Linked DNA regions of Alligator mississippiensis. The protein of the gene in region 3 purifies or fractionates together with the protein of the main gene of each other region. This does not show direct contact. Links are inferred from orthologs where the notes say so. Each region holds a gene or a part of one and is shown on either strand. Other genes may lie near its edges.

Evidence for each region.
Region 1: the proteins of CDC27 (region 3) and PLK1 purify together in Homo sapiens (affinity purification with mass spectrometry; 4 studies listed by BioGRID and IntAct, with this or other methods). This does not show direct contact. The link is inferred for Alligator mississippiensis from reciprocal best matches to the Homo sapiens genes CDC27 and PLK1.
Region 2: the proteins of CDC27 (region 3) and MAD2L1 purify together in Homo sapiens (affinity purification with western blotting; 29 studies listed by BioGRID and IntAct, with this or other methods). This does not show direct contact. The link is inferred for Alligator mississippiensis from reciprocal best matches to the Homo sapiens genes CDC27 and MAD2L1.

Annotation. Positions count from the first base shown.
Region 1 is NC_081836.1:58,699,380-58,703,124, forward strand, and holds the start of PLK1 (serine/threonine-protein kinase PLK1), read left to right. Parts: upstream 1-1,083; 5' UTR 1,084-1,196; coding exon 1,197-1,616; intron 1,617-1,890; coding exon 1,891-2,059; intron 2,060-2,404; coding exon 2,405-2,549; intron 2,550-2,836; coding exon 2,837-2,930; intron 2,931-3,291; coding exon 3,292-3,511; intron 3,512-3,745. UniProt on the Homo sapiens protein: Serine/threonine-protein kinase that performs several important functions throughout M phase of the cell cycle, including the regulation of centrosome maturation and spindle assembly, the removal of cohesins from chromosome arms, the inactivation of anaphase-promoting complex/cyclosome (APC/C) inhibitors, and the regulation of mitotic exit and cytokinesis.
Region 2 is NC_081825.1:120,208,783-120,212,527, forward strand, and holds the start of MAD2L1 (mitotic spindle assembly checkpoint protein MAD2A), read left to right. Parts: upstream 1-1,231; 5' UTR 1,232-1,304; coding exon 1,305-1,377; intron 1,378-1,599; coding exon 1,600-1,746; intron 1,747-2,636; coding exon 2,637-2,757; intron 2,758-3,516; coding exon 3,517-3,620; intron 3,621-3,745. UniProt on the Homo sapiens protein: Component of the spindle-assembly checkpoint that prevents the onset of anaphase until all chromosomes are properly aligned at the metaphase plate.
Region 3 is NC_081827.1:158,874,589-158,878,333, reverse strand, and holds the start of CDC27 (cell division cycle protein 27 homolog), read right to left. Parts: upstream 2,835-3,745; 5' UTR 2,681-2,834; coding exon 2,654-2,680; intron 1-2,653. UniProt on the Homo sapiens protein: Component of the anaphase promoting complex/cyclosome (APC/C), a cell cycle-regulated E3 ubiquitin ligase that controls progression through mitosis and the G1 phase of the cell cycle.

The DNA.
Region 1 (3,745 bases), on a different chromosome or scaffold from region 3:
GCTAATCTAGACGCAATACAAGTTTGTTATTATTAATTACACATCCATAAAGAGAGGACATTTAGGGGCAGCCCCGCGAGGCCGAGCCGCGCTTTGGGCCAGGCTAGACCCTGGTCGGGGGTGTCTGGGAGAGTCCCCCAGGGGTACAGTCACAGCGTGGGGTGGCCCGAGGAGGATTTCCAGCCGCAATCCCAGCCCGAAACCCGGTTCTTTACCCAATCCAATATACTTAGTTCTCGGCTATGGGGCTGGCAGGGGGCAGGGCCAAGCCGTGCTTTGGGCAGAGCTGTGCTCAGGGTCTTTGGGACAGTGCCTCGGTGGCATGGATGGGAAGTGTGGGGTGGCCCAAGAAGTATTTTGCCCCCTAATCCCATCCTCATCTGGGATGAGGCTCTGTACTTGATACATGATATTATTTTACATATTAATTATGGCTTTTAAGGAGAGGCTAAAGGAACTGGGCTGATTGAGTCTGGGGAAGGGAAGACCGGGGAATTTGATAGCAGCCTTCACCTCCCTGCCGGGGCTGCACAGAGGATGGAGCTGGGCTGGTCTCAGTGGGGCAGATGGCAGGACAAGGAGCAATGGGCTCCAGCTGCAGCGAGGGAGGTTGAGGTTGGATACGAGGAGAGACTCTCCCACTCGGAGGGCGGTGAAGCACTGGAGCGGGTTCCCCAGGGAGGTGGTGGGGTCTCTATCGTCTTTAAGCCCTGGCCGGGGTGATGTAGGTGGGGCTGGTCCTGCTCGGAGCAGGGGCTGGACTAGAGGTGACCGCCTGAGCGCCCTGCCAGCCGGAACTTCCTATAGGCTCAGCTGATGAAAGTCTCTCTCTTGAGGATGTGTCATTCATTAATTTATTGGGTCTAGATTCGTTTAGGAAAAGGAACCGGGACTAAACCTGCAGGGGCAGTGCCCCCGGGACAGGCGCGCACCGCCGCGCCTGTCTCTTTAAAAAGGGGCGGGGCGAGGCGAAGCGCTCCCATGGTGCCTTGCGGCGGGCGGCTTGGATTTTAAATCGTAGCAGCCAATCCGTGCGCGCGGGTTCGTAACGCTCCGGCCCCGGGTTTCAAATCGGTGCCGCCGCTGCCGCCGCCGCGCAGCTCGGGCCGGGGCCGCGGGACGGGGGACGGGGCCGGGGGCAGCGGGGCGGCAGTGGCAGAGGCAGAGGCAGAGGAGGCGCGGAGCAGAGCGGCAGCATGAGCGCGGTGTCCGCCAAGGGGACGCGGCCGCCCGGCGCGGCGGAGCCGGGGAAGGCGGCGGCGGCGGCGGCGGCGGGGCCCGGGGCGGGGGCGGCCGGGGGGCCTGCGGCCGCCGGGGCCAAGGAGATCCCGAAGGTGCTGGCCGACCCGCGGTCGCGGCGCAGCTACGTGCGCGGGCGCTTCCTGGGCAAGGGCGGCTTCGCCAAGTGCTACGAGATCACGGAGCTGGAGAGCAAGGAGGTGTTCGCCGGCAAGATCGTGCCCAAGGCGCTGCTGGCCAAGCCGCACCAGAAGGAGAAGATGTCCATGGAGATCGCCATCCACCGCAGCCTGGCGCACCGCCACGTCGTCGGCTTCCAGGGCTTCTTCGAGGACAGCGACTTCGTCTTCGTCGTGCTCGAGCTCTGCCGCCGCCGGGTCAGCGCGGGCGCGGGCGCGGGCGCGGGGCCCGGCGGGAACCGCCCATGCCGAGCGAGCGTTCCGCGCGGGGGTCTGAACGTTCCGCGCGGGGGTCCGAACGTTCCGCGGGCGAGTCCGAGCGTTCCACGCGGGTGTACGAACGTTCCGCGGGCGAGTCCGAGCGTTCCGCGCGGGTGTACGAACGTTCCGCGGGCCTTAAAGGGGCCGGGGGGAGGCGGGCTGGTAGCTGGTGCTCACGCTCCCCTCCACGCTCCTTCTCCCCCTTGCCCAGTCGCTGCTGGAGCTGCACAAGCGGAGGAAGGCGCTGACGGAGCCCGAGGCGCGGTACTACCTGCGGCAAACCATCCTGGGCTGCCAGTACCTGCACAGCAACCGCGTGATTCACCGCGACCTCAAGTTGGGCAACCTGTTCCTCAATGACGACATGGAGGTGAAAATAGGTACAGGCCTCCCCGCCCTGCGGGGCACGGGTTCTTCCTGGAGCTGTCGGAGCCCTGGGGTCCCTCCCTCCCGTGTCCGTGTGCAGCTGGGGTAAAGGGGTAAATCAGTAGCTTCTGCCACTGTGAAGCGGAACAGCAGCCTCTCACCCCAACCCTGGGCAAGCACGTCCCTCTGTCCAGGAGCAAACTCCACCAGGCACTCGAGATGGGGTCTTGGGAGGGTGTTGCTGCAGGTCCACGCAGGTGGCTCAGCAGGGCACGCCGCGGCCCTCGACATCCACAGGCAACAGCTGAGCCTGAAGTTAAGCCGATGCAAGCAAATTCTCTTCTGTCTGAATCTTTAAGGCGACTTTGGGCTGGCCACCAGGGTAGAGTACGACGGGGAGCGCAAGAAGACCCTGTGTGGTACACCAAACTACATTGCACCCGAAGTGCTGGGCAAGAAGGGGCACAGCTTTGAAGTGGACATCTGGTCCATCGGCTGCATCATGTGAGTTCATAGGATCGTAGGACGTGAGGGTGGGATGGGACCTCGGGAAGTCGCATCTAGTCCAACCCCTGCTCCAAGCAGGACCAGCCCCAGCTGCATCATCCCAGCCAAGGCTTTGTCTAGCTGGTGCTTAAACACTCCCGAGGACGGAGACTGCACCACCTCTCTGGGGAGCCTGTTCCAGCGCTTCACTACAGATTGGGGGTTACCTCTGGGGCATAAGTCCTGCAGCCTCCTGAACTCTCTTGCATGAACCCGTGACAGGCCGCTCTCTCCTCCGTACGCAGGTACACACTGCTAGTGGGGAAGCCGCCATTTGAAACCTCTTGCCTAAAAGAGACGTACATCCGTATCAAGAAGAATGAGTACACCATCCCAAAGGTAGGTGGGGCCTGCTGGAGGGCCCGTGCTCCCTCTCCAGCAGGGATGCCAGGGTGGGGCGCAAGCCAAACTCTCTTGCTTGCTGTGAAATGGTTCCTAGCACCCTGTGCACGCTCCTGGGAGGGGCCCTGGGTCTCTGGCTCCTCCGCTGCTGTCCACCAGGCTAGTCCATCATAGCACTGAGCCTCACAGGAGAGCTAGCTATATCTTGCCATCCTCAGCTCCTCCGGGCTCGTGCCCTGGTCTCTCCATGGCTCTGTTTGGAGCAGGAAAGCCCTGCATGTTGGGGGGTTTGGCCCTTCCACTAGTACAGAAGCACACCGGTCCCTTCCAGCCACAAACTGCCGGTCTCCTCTTTCAGCACATCAACCCGGTAGCTGCTAGCCTCATCCAGAAGATGCTGAGGTCAGACCCTGCCACCCGCCCCACCATTGACGAGTTGCTGAATGACGAGTTCTTCACGTCGGGTTACATCCCCGCCCGCCTGCCCACCACCTGTCTCACTGTCCCGCCGAGGTTTTCCATCACTCCCACTGCCCTCGACGCAAACGGGCGGAAGCCCCTTACTGCACTTAACAAAGGTGGGGCCCTGCATGGCAAAGGAGGGAGTGTTCAGGGCCTAGAAATGCCACGTGCAGGGCAAACGGTGTCTGTCCAGGGCTAAGAGCAAGCTACAGATGACAGCCAGAACCACTGATGAGCTTGCACGGAGGTCTGGGGTTCGTGGCAGTCTGGTGCTGCCCTTCCCTCCACAGGAGCAATAACTGACCCCCTAGCGGAGAGCCCAGCTCCTTGAGCTCTTGTCAGACAGTACC
Region 2 (3,745 bases), on a different chromosome or scaffold from region 3:
TGATTTTATTAAGGGTGATCTAGTTCAATTATTTGAAGGCCAAGTACAAAATAGAAACAAACACAAAGTAAGTGTATTCTAACCACTTCAGAAAACTCCCTTGAAGAATACTTATTCCCTCCCCAACCCCTGCGCAGACACACATTCAAAGGAATTTTAGTACATTGACTTTGAGTCATTGAGCTTACCTTTCATACTTATAAATTATATTAGAGGATATTTTTTTCAGTTTACTCAATGGCTCTTTATTTGCTATTGTGTAGGATAGAAACTACAGCTTGCCTCATTCAAGGCTTGAACAAATCTGTTCCTCCATAGCCGTATTTTCTTGTTGAGCTTTTTGTGGCATCCTACCTACCCTTTGGTGGTCTCTTAAATGGAAGGCAGGGTAGACATGCACCTTATAAACTAATTAAATCAGAGATGCATAAGCTTTTATGAGACGGAGTACACTTCATCATATACTGTGAAAGGAGACCACAGAGCAGTCTATCAAACAGAAGTGATACACCTTCTCTATGGTCTGGCCACATTATGTTCTTCTACTCCAATTTGAAGTGTCTCCTCAAAAGCCTTGTGCTTTGCTACTCACAAGGAATCCTGTTCTGTTGGTGTCCTGTCCTGTTTGCCAGGATCAATGGAGCCACACGCAGTCACTCAACAAGTTACTATAGGCAGAAGACTGGGGTCACAACCGAGTATGCCTTGCAGTCCAAGGCCTCAGGCCAAGGGTTAAGGCAGTAAAGTGGCCAGGGCAGATGGGAGATCAGAGCCGAAAGGTCCAAACACAGCAGGGTCAGAAACAATGGCATGGCTAGGATCAGGCAGAAGCAAACAGGAGAAGGGAAAAAGTCAGGCAAGAACAAGGTAAATGTCCAAGAAACGCATACACAGAGCACTGTTATTGCGAAACACGCACATACTTCATACAATATGCATGCACACTTTCCCCCGTTATTGCTAGGGACAAGTCCTAACTCTACGCTTCCAAGCACTCTTGCCCTAGCCACTCCAGGGCGGCACTAGAGAACGCTCCCTCAAATGCCAACCCCGCGCGCTGCGTGCCGATCTCTGAAGCGAGACCCCCGCAAGCCAATGGAAGGGCACCCAGCCGGTTCGCTCCGCCCACAAGGGGAAGAGGAACCTGTCGCGCATGCGCAGCGAGGCGAAAAAAACCCTGCGCATGCGCTGGAGAGAAAGGCATAAGCGTGAGCGGCGGCGACTTGCCGGGCGTGTGCGCATGCGAGAGTACAGCGTCTCGGGGGCGGGGCCCAGTTTGAAGCGGGTGGCGGGGACGTGCGCCCATGGCCAAGCAGCAGAGCCGGGAGCAGGGCATCACCCTGCGGGGCAGCGCCGACATCGTTGCCGAGTTCTTCTGTGAGGAGCCCCCGGGGCCGGGAGGGAAGAGCGGGCGTCAGTGCCCGCGCGGGAGGGGTGGGGGAAGCATCGGGACGCTCCGGTGCCCCCCCCCGGCGCCATGTTGGATCTCGCGGGGGGAGGGGCAGAGCCAGGCCGCGCCTGCGCAGTAGTGGGAGAGGGGTCGGTCACCTGCTCACCTGTCCTCCCCCCCCCATGTCTCCTCCGGCGCATGCGCGGCAGCTTACGGCATCAACAGCATCCTGTACCAGCGCGGCATCTACCCGCCCGAGACCTTCACCCGCGCGCAGCAGTACGGCCTCACGCTGCTCGTCACCTCCGACCCCGAGCTGCAGCGCTACCTGGGCAGCGTCGTGGACCAGCTCAAAGGTTGGGGGGGGGCAGGGAACGGGGTAGACTCCGGGCGGGGCCGGCCCGAGCTTTGCTGCCATCTCACCCGCTGGGCCCTTGTTCCTGGCTTGCATTTGCAACCTCAGCTCAGTGCACTAAACAGTTGCGAGTCTGGTTTGTTTCCCAAGCTTGGGCACTGCGAAGATGAGCTTTGAGAAGGTGCCCAGGGTGAAGGAGCTGACGTTTCTCGCCCGCATTGCATCAGCAAGGCAGGTGAAATAGAAATGCCCCCCATAGCAGGAGTGGGATTTGTGTCCATTCAGGGGTTTGGAGCAGGTCACACAAGGAGCCATGGCTAAAAACAAGAGGTCGGGTTTCTCGTTGGTTAGACCAGGATTTGACAGGCTGAAAACGGATAATGGGTTTAATTTGGGGCTGGTTAGCCTGACTTGAACCAGGCGTTGAAAACACCTTTGTAAGGTTTGCTGGGAGTCACAAAGCTCAAATCTCCCCATCTGCAATTCCAGGGCAGCTCCAATGACTTGCCAATTAAGCTGCCTGGGTAAGGGCTGTCCTGTGCCTGTTTTGAAGCAGGACCAAGGTCTGTTTTTACCTAGTTGGTCTTTTTGTTCCAGGTTTTGACTCGCGTCAGTTAGGACCAGCCTAAATCTGGGTTTAAAAATCCCATTCATCCTGCCCTTTAAGTTTGACCTTCTCCCTCACTGACACTTACCTTTCTTACTCTGACTTTTTGATTAACTGCTGAGTTAACTTTAAATTGAGGGTCCTCAGTATCACTATTTTGCTTTGTAAACTGCCCAAGTATTAATGCAGGGCTGACAAAGGCTCCTCTACTTAAGTGCTGCCTTTTGCTGGTTTAGAGGGTCTCCTTTTTTTCTGATATGTTTTTCTCCTTCTCCTCTTTCCAGACTGGCTGTACAAGTGTTCAGTACAGCGCCTGGTGGTGGTCATCTCTAGTATTGAAAGCAACGAGGTCCTTGAGCGGTGGCAGTTTGACATAGAGTGTGACAAAACTGCAAAAGATGAGAGGTAAATGTAATGAACTGCACCATTGCAAAGCTGTTAGTTCTTACAAGCCCTTCCTGCTGGCCCCTCTGACAGACAGTTAATGCAGGTGTGAGCTCCTTGGTTCATATATTGAAGTGCCAGAGTGAATGCATTTTCTTTGCACTTTTGTTTCAAGATGATCCATGTCAATTTCTTAAAGCATCTGGGTGGTGGGGAGACATGTCTCTGAGGGTAATTATACTTCACTAGTAAATGTTCTGTATGTTTTAAACCAAATGAAACAATTTGACCTTGGATGCATGTGTAATTCATACCTGCAGTGCAAGCCACTAACAATGGAATTTTTTGTTTTTTTGTTTTTGTTTTTGTTTTTTTTTGTGGTGGGAACCTTTTCAGTATTATAAAATTATTAATTTATTTAACTGCTCCTCTGCTTACATCATGCTTCTTCTATTTGGTATTAGTTGCTTTGCTAGGAACATTATCATATTAACTCAAAATTGCAGGGAAATTCAGAGCAGTGCTTAAAACTACAAACACTGTGTAACACCACACAGAGCAGTATTGAACTAAAATTTAAAAAAAACTTTGACTGAATTTTCAAATCCTTATTATCCAGACTGTTTTGTTACACTGTTTATCCCATTGAGACTTCCGGTTCTTGAAACAGAAACTGTTTCACAACTTATGCTAAAGATAAAGCTATATTTGGAGAAACTTTCCAGTATAACAAAAGCCTCCTTTCTTCTCTGTTAAAAGAACTTCTTGTTTCTGTTGTAGCGCACCAAGGGAGAAGTCTCAGAAAGCTATTCAGGATGAAATTCGATCTGTTATCAGACAGATAACTGCCACTGTAACTTTTCTGCCTTTATTGGAAACCTCTTGTGAGTAGTCTGAATTTTTGTATTTACTCAGGCCTGAGTGAACAACTCCATCCCTGACATGAGATTGCCAGCTTCCAATCTGAATAATATACTATGTATATATTTAAATACTAAGCACTCCTGCT
Region 3 (3,745 bases):
TCCACTACAGCAATCTCAACATTGTGGTTGTACCAGTACTCCAGGGAGACAAAGAGCACCTATGCCATAGAGACTAGAATTGCTGCTGCAATCAGGTGCGTTGGGGCATTTACAAAGCAAAATATACTCCAATGTAGAATAATAGTAGAACTAGTCTACCTTCTGTATCTGTATCATCTGTCATTTTCCCTCTATACTGGGAATAAACCAAAATATAACACCTAATATAGAGAGTTAGGTAAAATCCTAAAATAGGCTAACTGGGAGTTTGGGTGGGGTGAGCAATTCCCATAACCTTTTATGGAAGATCATTAGAAAACTAAGCCTGTCCTAGAACTCAAGTCTGTACAATGGATTCACACCATTTTATTCCTACTGAACAGCAAACTTTTACTAGCCATTACTGTACATTGCTGTTTTTATCATGTTTTCAACCATAACATCAAACAATGCTATCAAACCTGTGCATCATTAGAGCTGGTAATGGCAATTCATATCAGCTTCTCAAAATGATCAAAGCAGTGGAATTGAAGTGTCATGGAAACTTAAGCACTATTTCAGAAAACCTTTGGCTTCAGAGATGCATACACGTAACTTGCTAACATACGGGATATGGCATTAGTATTTAAGGTTCAGAAGTTTCAGATTACTTCCTTAGGAGCATAAAATGCCATGTTGTCTATTTAAGACTAGACTCTGCCACCTATACCCCTTGCAAAAGTAGCAACATCTGAATGTTGAAATAGAAACTTTTCAGGGCAGGTAACAGTCATCTTACATAGTTTTAAAATGCCAACATACTAAGCACTATGTAAATAATAATCTCTACAAAGCACTGTCATGTTGATAATTCTAAAGGTGACAGTTTTTTTGGATGAAGGCATGGAATTTGTTTTGGTATCAAGTATTACTTCACCAGTGCCCTTTTCATTTAATGGTTCATAACCGTGGCACAGAAACACCCCATGACTACAGATGATCAAGGCTGACACATTTCGTTGACATTACCAAGAGAATAGAGATGGTAGCAATGGTGAAATCTGTAGCATAAAAAGAGAACCCAAGTATGGTTACGACCTTATCATGCAATGTTTAAAATGAGCCAAGATACAGTTTACACCGCTGCAACCACAGTTGGACCAAGATAGTGACAAATCATGGTCATGTATTATAAGTGCAGATAGAACCATAACATATAAATGCGCAAACATATCAGTCTCTTCAGACCTAAAGGAAAAATAAAGGGTTTCTTTTTCTTTTTTTGGATACATCAAGCATGCAGAACCCAAATGGGTGTGTGTGATCACAAAGCAGAGCCCGATCAAAAGCATATCCAATTTGGGAAGGGGCTGAAACTGGAAGAGAAGACCGTAGAAGTATCTGCGTATTTCAAGAACCCATTAATGCTGCTCAAATAAAATACTCCACATCTCTGCCAGGGAAATCTCAGCACAGCAACTGTTTTTCACCTAGCTAATCTAATTAGGATAACAGAGATGCTGCTTACAGGCATTTGTGGAAGTGTTAGATCAGTGGTTTTCAACCTGGCCCTCAACGCAGGTGTTGTCTGCACTATGGCAGTCAGATAAAACTGCCCTGAATGCAGAGCTGTGGCAAACGTGCACTCCTGCTGCATTAAGGCTCTCTTATCAGCCTCCATCTAGCTCCTGCCTTCTTGCTTGGGCCCTTCCCAGTCTGGGTCCCCCACCACACACTTCCTGAAACAGGGTACATGGGAGCATTCAACCTGCTGCCTCCGTTTCCAGGATGGCGGCCACAGCAGCAGCACCTGGCTGAGAAGTACTGGGGTAAACCGAAGCAGCAACCAGGGATGCTGCCATATTCAGATGAGTGGTGAAGGTTTATCCCACTTGAGTTGCTGTGTTAGATATTATTTGCACCCTTTCACTGCAGAAGCAAGTGCTCGCTTCCTTTTCACACAGACTCCCATGTCAGGTGGGCTCTGCCATGCTTTGCAACAGCTACAGCCACAGACCTGATGCCAAAGATGGCTAGGTGGCTGGAAGCATTTTCAGAGCTACAGCCATAGCGTGGAGAATACCAGCGCGCTGTTCACAAGAGCACCATCGCCACAGGCATCGCCCGGGGCACGTGAACTCGGTGGAGCAGAGGTCATCTCCCACAGGAAGTCACCCATGCCCAGTGCGTGAGCTCGTGCTCGTTTCTGTTCTGCTTGCGGCTGCAGGCTGCTCTTTGCAAAAACAGGAGCTGAAGAGGTGGGGAAAGAAAGGAGGAAGGCAGCTGGGACAGGCCTGGAGGAGGGTTAAAGCAAGATGGGGGAGATGACATGGGAAGTGGGGAAGAAGGAACAAGTCCTGTGTTCTGGGAGCGCCCTGCTTGGGAGGGGAAGCCCTGCGGCAGAGCTGCTGGACAGAGCCGGAGGGGCAAAAAAGGAATAAAAAAAATCAAACTTGAAGCGACTTCCTGCTCCGGGCCTTGGGGCCTCCCAGCGCCCGCGGGGCCCGAGGCTGGGCCGTGCCCGCAGCGGGGACCGGGCCACGGAGACAAAAGGAGGAATCAACAAGTCCCCCCGGGGCGGGGCGGGGCGGGGCGGGGGCAGCCCTGCGGCGGGCCCGGGCGGCGAAGGGCCGGGCCCCGCTAGGCCGCGGCGGTGAAGCCGGGCGCGCGGTACCTGGACGGGTTCCTGCAGCACCGTCATCCTGCCCCCGCGGCGCCCGGCGCGGCCTCGGCCCCGGCTTCGCCTCAGCCTCGGCGCGTGTCCCGGCGGCGGCTGGGCCCGGCCCGGCCCCTGCTCATTTAAACTCCCAGCGACCGTTACCGGGGCAGGCCGCCGGGAGGAGGGAGGGAGGCCGGGCGCCGAGTCCGCCCGAGCGGCGGCGGGAAGAGCCGAAGGGGAGCGGAAATGCCCGAGCGGGGGCGGAAGCAGCCGAGGCCCGAGCCCGAGGGGGGGGCCCGCACAGGGGGGGCCCCGAGCAGCCGCGGAAATAGCCGAGTGCTGGCCGAGCTCGCGGAGCTGCCCGAGCGCCGCCTCCGCCACCGCCCTCTCCTTGCGCCGGAGTCTCGGCGGCGGCGCCCCCTGGCGGTCGGCCTGAGCCACTGCGGGCCGCGGGCAGCGCCCGCCCTGCTTGGTGCAGCGACTGCGGGCCGAGGCCGGGTCCAGCGCGGAGGGCGGCGGCTGGTCTCTGCTCTTTCGGACCCGAGGCTGGCCTGGGCAGGCTGAAGCACACCCCCGGGAAACGCCGGTTCTCCCTTTTCACTCTTGTTTGACTAGGGAAAGAGCACCGGGCAGTTTGCCTCTTGCGAGGATCCAAGAAGCGCCACCACGGCGGATTCCTGTGCTGAATCTCCAGCTTTATCTTATGACTCCTGTTTGCACACCTTACCTAACATCAGTGCTAACTAACCGCAATTCATGTGGTGCCTTAACCTCTGGTGCAGTTCCCTCCGGAGTTAACGGCTGCGTGGTACAGCATCTACATGTGCGCCTAGGACCGCAGCAGTTTGGGCTGTGCCAGGGGTGCTTGGCCCTGGGCTGGCAGCAGGCTCGGGGGTCAACCCCGGGCATGAGGCTGAGGGGGCACGGTGACCACCCGCAGGCGGTGGGGGTGGGGATGTGGTGGCAGCAGGCGGGGACCACCTACAGGTGGCCGTGGTGATGGCGGCAGCAAGGGCATGCCAAGCAGGGACCACCTGCAGGTGGCCACAGCGGTTTTGGTGGTGACGCAGGGGAGGGTGGTGAGCAGGGACCTCCAGTAGCCACCAT